Cricetulus griseus: one gene and its partners. The protein of the gene in region 3 interacts with the protein of the main gene of each other region in a biochemical or structural test. Links are inferred from orthologs where the notes say so. Each region holds a gene or a part of one and is shown on either strand. Other genes may lie near its edges.

Region 1 (3,196 bases), on a different chromosome or scaffold from region 3:
ATAAAAAACTAAACGTGGGCTGGAGAGATGGCTCAGAGGTTAAGAGCGCCGACTGCTCTTCCAGAGGTCCTGAGTTCAGTTCCCAGCAACCACATGGTGGCTCACAACCATCCGTTATGAGATCTGGTGCCCTCTTCTGGTGTGCACATATACATGGAAGCAGAATGTTGTATACATAATAAAATCTTAAAAAAAAAAAAAACTAAACGTGCAGTTCAGACATTGTGTCACAGCTGGAACTGAAATGCCCCAAAGCCTTCCAGTCACTAGGGCACACCACCAGTTACCCTGCTGTAATGCTAGTGTTTTCAGGGTGCTTCCGAACAACTGACCGGGAACTGAGTGAGTTGGTCCCACAAGGTGCTGTGACGAGTGTCATCTGTACCAAGGAAGGGCTCTGGGCCGAGCAGAGCACAGTGCATGCTCAGTGAATATGTGGATTTCAGGGTCCCACAATTTTTCTTATCTCACTTAAATATCAATTTGGTTTGTAAACAAACAAATGAACCTTTAAGCACTTTTAAAATCTTTATTCTCTTCCTTATTATAAAAATAATACATGTTCCTTATAGAAGTTTTACATTATAAAAAGTCCAAATCTAATACATTTCACTACACTCTTACCCGAGATGAGTGATTTTCTTACTACTCATTCATAAATATACAAAGTATTAAAAATGACAAAGTTTAAAAAAACAGGAAAATGTACACATACAATGAATTTAACAGAAAAAGAAGACAGAAAAATCACCCCGGGTCTTTTATGAAAATAGGAACTCACAAAATTGGGAAACGTGATTTCTTTCTCCTAAAGTACTTTGGGAACAAGGGCGGGGCAGGGCGGGGTGGGGCAGAGCACAGCTCAGCTGCAGCGGCCAGCATAGGACAGCTTTGACTCCACCTCCCACACCTTCATTTCCAAGGCTTTCAGGACATCTTCTATCTACCGATGGAAAGGGCATGAAGAAACACAAGTGCGCGTACGATTAATTAATCATAGGTTAATGATTAAAATAATCCATGCCATTTTGAATGTTTTGCATGACATAAAGATGCTAGGCCTAACAAAACTCTGTAGGGAAGTGACTCTAACTTGAATAAGGCATACTCATAATCTTACTAGCTTTAGTCACAACACAACAATGTTTAGTCAAGAACATTAGTATTTAGCAATGAGTCAAATGCCAGGCAAGCCAATCCGATTAAGGCCACAGGGTGGCATAGCAGGCAAAGGTAGTTGCTGCTGAGCCTGACCACCTTGGTTCACTCCAGAGACCTGACTGAGGAGCCAACAGGCTCTTCCAACCTCTAGCAAGCAAGCACAGGGTGCACACAGACCCCCAGACACAGTGCTAAACAATGTCAGTGTTGCTTTGCTCAAGGCTACGTTTCTGGTTTAGTGAGCAGTGTTTCCATCTCGGCATGGAAAGTGTTCAGGGTTCCATGGATACAGCATCAGCTCACGGCTCCACTCCCTAACGCCCGATGAGCACTCTTTCCCTGCCAAGTGCTAAAAGCAAAGCGCGTGACATCACAGGGTGGTGCAGCGGGGACATAAACTGAGAGTAAACTCACCTGCTTTATAGACTTCTCTATCTCAACTCTGCTTTCAAGATTGAAAAGCTCCTTGTCTTCCGGCACGATTTGCTTTTCAGAGGACCCTAAAGTGTAACTGAGATGCACTGCAGTGAGAGCTCAAGTATGAGAAGGAATTAGCACCAACGTCCCAGCAGCTAACCATGCCAGCTCTGAGTGCACGACTCCACGCCCCGGGTGTGAAGACAGCATTCTGTTGGTGGAGACCTGAAGACGCTGTAACACGTAACCTCACCCCTCACTAACGGTGCTGTCCAGATAACCCTACATATTCACTCTCGTCAGAAAAGTTTCACTGCTGCAAGAAGCCTCCTCTTTTGGGCGGGCAGGGGGCAGAGCGACATCACGGCCAAGGGCAAGCAGAGCAATTCTGAGAAACCAGCGTTTGCTTTATGTGACTTTCTAGAGACATGGGTGCTTCCAAGTTTCACTTCTTTGTTTTTTTTTTTGTTTCTCGAGACAGGTTTTCTCTGTAGCTTTGGAGCGTATCATGGCACTCGCTCCGGAGACCAGGCTGGCCTCGAACTCACAGAGATCCTCCTGCCTCTGCCTCCCGAGTGCTGGGATTAAAGGCGTGCACCACCAACGCCCGGCCTCCAAGTTTGACTTTTAACAAGCACTAATAATTATCAAGGGTTGGGCAGCCTCAGGGTTAACTACTTAGGGTTTAAGTAATTAAGAACCAACCCTTGCTGCTCCTGTAGGAGCTACGCTGGGTTCCCAGCACCCATGTGGCAGCTCACAAGCCTCCCTGACTCCAGGGAAGACAGTAAAGCGAGCTGAGACTCCATCTATCTGTCTCCTGACTGAGAAGCAGTGTGGCCCACTGCCTCAAGCTCCCCTTGACTGACTGGATCCTCAACGTACTGAGTCCGAATACACCATTCCTTCTTAAAGGAAAGCAGGTGGATCTCTAAGAGTTCAAGGCCAGCCTGAACTACACTGCAAGGTCCAGGCAAGTTATAGATACATAACGAGACCCTGTCTCAAAAAAACCTAAAGCAAAACTAGAAAAGAGGGTTCTGTTCCAACCCTACTGGATTAAAATGATTTGTATCTTCCATTTTGTAATTATCGGGTAGCCCAGTTGGCCTTAAACTCTAGACACCCCTTGCAGCCCCCCAGCCTCTAGGTGCTGAGGTCACAGGCGGGTCACCACACTTGGCTGAAACTCCTTCTCTTCTGTACACACCCACAACCTCAGGTCACTGCCACGAACCCTAGAGAGCATCTCACCGATTAAGGGAGCACGTGTCTGGAGCCTGGCCCTCTGCTCTATAACATGGAGCACCACCTGCTTAGTGGATTTTAAATTTTCTATTTAAACTTGGCTGGTTTTAAAAGATGCCAAATACAAAGTTATCAATTAATAACTGGATAAAATTACTGTTTTAAATTTTTTAAGGACAAGAATTTAAGATATTAAGGTGAGTGGTGGTGGCTCATGCCTTTATTCCCAGCACTCGGGAGGCAGAGGCAGGCGACCTCTGCGAGTTCTAGTACAGGCTCCAAAGCTACACAGAGAAATCCTATCTCAAAAAACCAAAAAGAAAAAAAAAAAGAAATTAATCATGATAAAAGTACTCAAGTGAGGAAAGTA
Region 2 (4,377 bases), on a different chromosome or scaffold from region 3:
TCTGATGGCAGTGTCTGTTATCCTGCCACTCAGAAGCCCAGGCAGGAGGATCTCAAGTTCAAATTCACAGGCTTCCAAAGACAGCTGGGATACAGCAGACTCTTGTCTCAAAAAAACAAAAACAATGGGCTGGAGAGAGGCTCAGAGGTTAAGAGCACTGTCTGCTCTTCCAGAGGTCCTGAGTTCAATTCCCAGAACCCACATGATGGCTCACAACCATCTGTAATGAGATCTGGTGCCCTCCTCTGGCCTCCAGGGATACATGCAGGCAGAACACTGTACACATAATAAATAAAATCTTAAAAAAAAAAAAAAAACAAAGGTCATAATTTATGACAAAAATTAATTTCTGTACTGCCTCCGATCACTTGTACAGTCCATGGCGCCCTACCTTATAAAGAAAATTACTACTGTCCTTAAGATGTTTGGGGTTTTTCTGCTCCATGCTATAGAGTTAACATAATATAGCTTGTTGGGCCCTGGATCATGAACACTGGAGGACTTAAGGCATTTACTTCTAATATGTAAACAAATTGTATCTCCATTTCATTATATAGAACAAGGTCAATTAGATTTTAATTTTTTTTTTAAGATTTTATTTATTATGTATACAGTCTTCTGCTTGCTCGCCAGCAGAAGGTACCAGATCTCATTTAAGGTGCTTGTGAGCCACTATGTGGTTGCCGGGAATTGAACTCTGGACCTCAGGAAGAACAGTCAGTGTTCTTAACTACTGAGCCATCACTCCAGCCCCTAGATTTTAATTTCTATTCATTGTAATATTCCATCAATCTGGAAGACAACAAGTCATAATAGCAACAGGCAGTGAAGTGGAATATTTTCCCCTACTCTTTTTTGTTTGTTTGTTTTGTTTTTTGTTTTTTTCTGAGACAGGGTTTCTCTATGGCTTTGGAGCCTGTCCTCGAACTAGCTCTTGTAGACCAGGCTGGTCTCAAACTCAGATCCACCTGCCTCTGCCTCCCGAGTGCTGGGATTAAAGGCGTTCGACACCAATGCCCAGCCTTATTTATTTGTTTTTTTGAGACAGGGTTTCTCTGTAGCTTTGAAGGCTGTCCTGGAACTCACTCTGTAGACCAGCCTCTGCTTCCCGAGTACTGGGATTAAAGGTGTGTGCCACCACCACCTGGCTTACCAGGCTTTTAAAAAGAGATTTGGTGTAGGTTTCCATATATGAGAACCCAGCACTTGGGAGGGAGAGGTAGAACTGTAAAGTCAAGGCAAAATCATTATTTTTTGTGAAATTAAGATATTTTACATAGCTAAACATATTAAAAATGTCACTTCAGGAGCAGTGAGATGACTCAAGGGGTAAAGGCACTTGTTGCCAAGCCTGAGGAACTGAGATTAATTCTTGGGACCAGCATGGTGAAAAGAAAGACTCCTTCAAGTTGCCTTTGAACCTCAATATATATGCCAAGCCCCAAGACCCCCAACCATACTTACACACACACACACACACACACACACACACACACACACACACTGTTTATTTATGGTTTTTCAAGACAGAGTTTCTCTGTTGTAACAGCTCTGGCTGTCCTGGAACTCACTGTGTAGACCAGCCTGGCCTGGAACTCACAGAGATCCACCTGTCTCTCTCTACACACACACACACACACACACACACACACACACACACACACACACACACACACACACCACCTGCCAAGCACTGAGATTAAAGGCATAAACCACCAGGTGAGAAAGGACTCCTATAAGAATAGGAATGTGTCTTTCAGTTTGGCAAAGTGGAATAGAGGTATGGTTACAACTTAGTTTTGGCCTCATAAGCACAAATTTGCTGAGTACTTTATTGCTATGGGGAAAATATGGGAAGAGGCAAATTACTAGTAGTACTGAAACACCAAACATTCAATTGTGTTTCCCCAGTTTCAGAGATTATTACAGAATTAGTTCTGTTATGGTTTGTAATATAAACTCCAAGTTAAATTAAAATTTAAATAGTCCTAGTTATCTCACAGGATGTTTTAGTCCTCAGATGTTAAAACCTACACCCAACTCTAATTTTTCTTTCATTAATGCCTTGTTGACATGTTTCAAACGCATAAAAAATGTACCATCCAAATATATTGTATGGAGAGAATAAACTTTTGTCACAACAAAAATAAAGTTTTTTTTCTTGTTTACGACAACTACATAGTCCTCGGTGTCATTAAATAAGGAACTATAGATCCTTCTCAGGAATTCTCCGCACGTACCTGCATTTGAGAGAACCTTCAATGCCAACGAGACAGGGCTCTAATAAAACGACATTGTTCGTGACTCCTGAAAGACAAAAGGGTTTTGAATAGGAAAACCGCCCACCAGATTCATCCTGGTCATAAAAGTCAACAAAACGCGTGGGGCTCATCCAAAAGCGCAAGCTTAGCTCACGCGAGGTCGGTCCAAAGTTTGATTCCCAGCTCCGGAAAACAAAACCACGCCTCCCTCACCCAGCTCGTTTACGATCCCACAGGTCGGGATTACCCTTTCTCAGACGCCAACCCTCGCCTCACTCACTGGAGAAGGCCACGGTCCCGAGGGACCTCGACAGGTCCCAGGCGAGATGCACGGTGTCGGCGAGCACCGCGTGGCAATGCGCGCAGTGGAACACGGCGCACCTCTCCGGTTCCAGCCACGCAGGCAGCCGCAGGTCGACCGGTGACGTCTCCACCTCAGTCTCCGGAGGACCTAGAGGGGAAGACCCTGACACCACCTGAGTGTCCCACTCCATGGAGGTAGCAGCAGAAGGCGTGTCACAAGAGTCACTGCAGCACGGCGACTCGGGGGACGGGAGGAGGCGCCGCGAGCGAGCCATCATTCTGAAGCCGGCGCCTCTTTTTGTACGCTCGCGCCAGGTTCCACCGAAACGAAGTTTCCTGCATCCTCGTTGGACAACATGCCCGTAAGGCACGCCCACAAGCCGTCGAGCGCCGCGTATTCATTGGTTAGGCTTGCGCTATTGCGCGCTTCAGCAGCTCTATTGGCCAGCATCGGAAAACCCCACCCCCGAGGCGTTCAACCAATGGACGTGCAGCAGCCTCCATTTAAAATGAATATAAAAGTCGGCTTGTCAACGCCTTGGGTGGCGCCAGTTTTGAACGCTGCTGTTTGAGTCGCCTGGTTGTTTTTCTGGGTGTCGCCGGGATTGTAGAACGCGATGACCGTCCCCTCTGCAGAGGAGTTGGACTCTTTCAAGTACAGCGACCTGCAAAATTTAGCCAAACGGCTGGGCCTCCGGGCTAACCTGAGGGTACGGTGCTGGCTGGTGGTGCGGGCAGTTGGGTCGGCGGGGTAGAAGAGACCAGGGGTGTGGGGGTCACGGGGCGAAGGGACAGAGAGGGAACCCCCGGGGGACTCTGGTTTTGGGTGAGTAGGTTCGGCTCACGTTGGCTGGAATCTGTTAAACGAAAGAGAAGATATATCTGTTATTTTATTTGGAGGCAGGAACTCATAAAGGCCTCTTACTAGAAACTCTAATGATAGTTTCCTGCTGCCAGAAGGAAACACAGACCCATAAGACATAATCAATGTAATGTCTAATGCCTGTTATTAGAAAAAGTTGAATTGGCTCCTGGAAATTTCCCAAATTACTACTTTTAAGTAAACTGTGATAGTAGTACCTACAATCTTCTTGGGCCTTTATTTGGATGCCAAGCCATGGGGATATAGTATGATCGCTATAGTGATGGTGTTCTTTTTCAAAACCGGTTAGGACTTTTGCAAGGTGTTCAGAGAAAACGTCATTCATTGTGAGACTGGGGCTTGCTATGTTGGAGTTGAGATTTCCCACATGTGTACCCCGTAGATTTGTACAGCAAGCTGATATTTACACTAAATGTCTATTCAGTCATCACAAATATTTTTAAGTGATATAAACAGAATAATGAGACCATAGATGCTCCTCGAATCTGTCTGAATGGCAATGAAGAGTACTTGGAAATGTTTCTGAGTTACACAACTTTAATGAGTAAAGCTTAGGCCCTCAGGTATTTGCTATCTTGTGGATTTTTTGTTTGCTTTTCTTTTTTTCCCCAAGAGATTATTTTTTTATTAGTTCAAATTGGAAACAAGGCTGCTTCACATATCAATCCCCTCTCCCCTTCCCCCAGCCCCCACCTCATCCCCCTCTGCTCCCCAGGGAGGGTAAGGCCCTCCATGGGGGTTCCCCAAAGTCTGTCATATCATCCTGGGCAGGGCCTAGGCCCTCCCCCATGTGTCCAGGCTGAGAGAGCATTCCTCCATGTGGGATGGGCTCCCAAAGTCCCTTCTTACTGATTCACTACTAGGGGCCCCATAGAGTGCCAAGGCCTCCTCATTGACATCCATGTTCAGGGTTATGGATCAGTCCCGTGC
Region 3 (2,645 bases):
GAGGCAGCCACCTTTTCTTGCAGGTGACCCTGTTTGGACACCCCTTGGGGTAGGGGGCGAGAAGACGAAGTACCAGACACGGGTACTGGGAGTGGGTAACAGAATGCTGTTAGGCCTGCCTTTATACCCCTCCCATTGGCTCAGGCAGCTGACTCTACTGCCTTGTCCTTTTCTCACTGGTGCCTCCGGTCAGGTGTCTCTTCCTCAGCAATCTCTGGGCCTAGAGGCAGGCTTGGCTCAGGGAGGAAGTGCCTGCCATGCATGCTCATGCAGGCTGGCCTGGGCACCTGAAGCTTGAGTAGACTGGCCGGCAGTTTCTCCTACAACCTTCCCGAGTTTTTCCTCCCAACAAATATGAGGTTTGTTGTACGGTGTGACTTTGTGGTACTGCTTGGCTCCATTCTGCCAGATTACCTTTCTGTCCAAGCTTTAACACATGCATTGGGAAAACCTTCCTCCTCAGAGCTTTAACACTTAGGATAACAAAATGCATTCTTTTCCTGATGAAATTTAAAAAAAAACTCTAGAAACATACTACACAAATTTAACATTTTATTTGAACAGTCTGAGCACAAAGGATAAATGAATATATAGTGTAACCTGAGGACAAATAACTTATTTCAAGCTTCTAAAGGCGCTATTGGAAAGGGAAAACCTGGTTATTATGACCTAGTAATTCCTTATAACGGTGGATCTATCAACTATACATGACACGGCTCAAGAATACAACAGAAGCTGTCCTCTGGTACCCTTCACAAAGTAATAAAGAGTAATGAATTAGAGATAGAGGTTTCACAAACAGACCAACTTATGGTAAATTTTAAGAAAAACTATTAGAAGAAAACATATAGAACATAAAAAAAAACAATTTGAATAACATAATTTAAATAGTCAACGAACTCTGGCTTATACCAGGTGGCAAGATACTACAAGTTTTCATTCAAGTATCCACCAATCCAAGCTCTTTAACTCCAGCCCCCTCTCTCCTGACTTCTATGTTTTTAAAAAGGTATTTAAAAACCTATTTAAGACATGATTACTATAGTACACAGACTTGGGTGTTTAAGAAACTTAAGCTTTACATACTTTCCTATTACAAAAATAAAATAAATACATACATAGGCAAAGAAGTTTTACTTGTGTTTTATTGCAACACTAAGGAATATTCTATAGGATGTTAACCTTGCACACAAATATAAGACATCTTTGGGAAACAAATCTGCATTCCCTTATTACAAGGACAATACCCATTCTTCAAATGACAATACAAGTATGCTCTGCTTGATGGTAAAAGTCCTACTATCAATCAGAATTTGAAAAGTAATAATCTTTCTCTTCTTCATCTGATTCTATGGCATCAACGAAATACTTTGAAATAGCAGTGTTATCACCTAAATCTGTAAAGACAAATTTTATGAAACAGATTAATATATTACTGGTAATTTTAATAGAACTGAAAGCAACTCCAATGAACTAAATGGTAAGTGTGTCTACTTGAGAACCAGTTAATTTTAACACCATCAAATAGAGATCCTATTGTAATAGAAATAAGGTACAAAATAAAGAAATGCAATACCTTTGTTAAACAGGGCTTTTCGTATTGGTGTTGGAGATGACAAATCATTTTCAACCTACAAAAGAGGGTGTGTTAGTAGCAAAATTGTATCTCTTGTGATAAGGGAGTTGACTAGACAGTACAGTCCTACATAAAATCATAAAATCAAGTATGCTTAATCCCCAGAGGACTGTAAACATAGGCCTGTTATATCACTTTCAGTCACTAAAGCAACCACATTCTTGAGTTTATGCAGAACAAAATCCATAACTTAGTTTCTCACCGTTGGCAAATATTTATACATGTAAGAAAATAAAAACTATTAAAAAAAGAAAGAAAATATAAACTAATGCTACAGAAGGCAAAGAATCGTCTATAGCCTATAAAAGTTGGCTCAATGTACTCAGTACTTATCTTGAATAGAATGTATTATTATCCCTGTGAGATTATATAAGACATCATTTACTTCTCATAACCACTCAGTAGCAGGCCATTTTCATTATCTAAATATGCATAAATTAGAAAAGTCTAGTCACTTGCTTAGTGTAATGAGGCCACTGATAATTAGACCTTGAAATGAGTACTTTGAACACAAAATTCTTGGCTTTTCCTACACTAACACACTGGCTACAAATACCAGACTATGAAAAGAATTAGGTAAATCACAATTTTATAAACTGCTTAATTTGAACACATTAAGAAAAACAATCAAATAGGCACAATGGTAGGTGCCTTTAATCCCAACACTTGGGTTGCAGAGGCAGGCAAGAGTTCTCTGAGTGTGAGGCCACTAGACTTACAAAGGGAGTTCCTGGACAGCCAGGGCTACACAGAGCTATGTAGTCCTACCATGTCTCAAAACAATAACAGCAAAAAAAAACAAAAAAAGGAAAGAGAAAGAAAAATGCAGTTTCTTTCTTTTTTGGGGAGTGGGGTGGGGTTTCGAGACAGGGTTTCTCTGTGTAGCTTTGGAGCCTATCCTTGCTCTGGAGACCAGGCTGACCTCGAACTCACAGAGATCAGCCTGCCTCTGCCTCCCGAGTGCTGGTATTAAAGTCGTGCGCCACCAACGCCCGGCTGAAAAATGCAT

Evidence for each region.
Region 1: the proteins of Mis18bp1 (region 3) and Mis18a form a complex in vitro, tested with the Homo sapiens proteins (2 studies listed by BioGRID). The link is inferred for Cricetulus griseus from reciprocal best matches to the Homo sapiens genes MIS18BP1 and MIS18A.
Region 2: the proteins of Mis18bp1 (region 3) and Oip5 form a complex in vitro, tested with the Homo sapiens proteins (2 studies listed by BioGRID). The link is inferred for Cricetulus griseus from reciprocal best matches to the Homo sapiens genes MIS18BP1 and OIP5.

What each region holds. Positions count from the first base shown.
Region 1 is NC_048597.1:7,020,383-7,023,578, reverse strand, and holds the end of Mis18a (protein Mis18-alpha), read right to left. Parts: intron 1,673-3,196; coding exon 1,576-1,672; intron 944-1,575; coding exon 863-943; 3' UTR 515-862; downstream 1-514. UniProt on the Homo sapiens protein: Required for recruitment of CENPA to centromeres and normal chromosome segregation during mitosis.
Region 2 is NC_048599.1:58,866,567-58,870,943, reverse strand, and holds the start of Oip5 (protein Mis18-beta), read right to left. Parts: upstream 2,926-4,377; 5' UTR 2,843-2,925; coding exon 2,542-2,842; intron 2,308-2,541; coding exon 2,241-2,307; intron 1-2,240. Other genes in the region: Nusap1 (nucleolar and spindle-associated protein 1), read left to right, coding at 3,182-3,274. UniProt on the Homo sapiens protein: Required for recruitment of CENPA to centromeres and normal chromosome segregation during mitosis.
Region 3 is NC_048598.1:137,938,909-137,941,553, reverse strand, and holds the end of Mis18bp1 (mis18-binding protein 1), read right to left. Parts: intron 1,632-2,645; coding exon 1,577-1,631; intron 1,398-1,576; coding exon 1,303-1,397; 3' UTR 533-1,302; downstream 1-532. UniProt on the Homo sapiens protein: Required for recruitment of CENPA to centromeres and normal chromosome segregation during mitosis.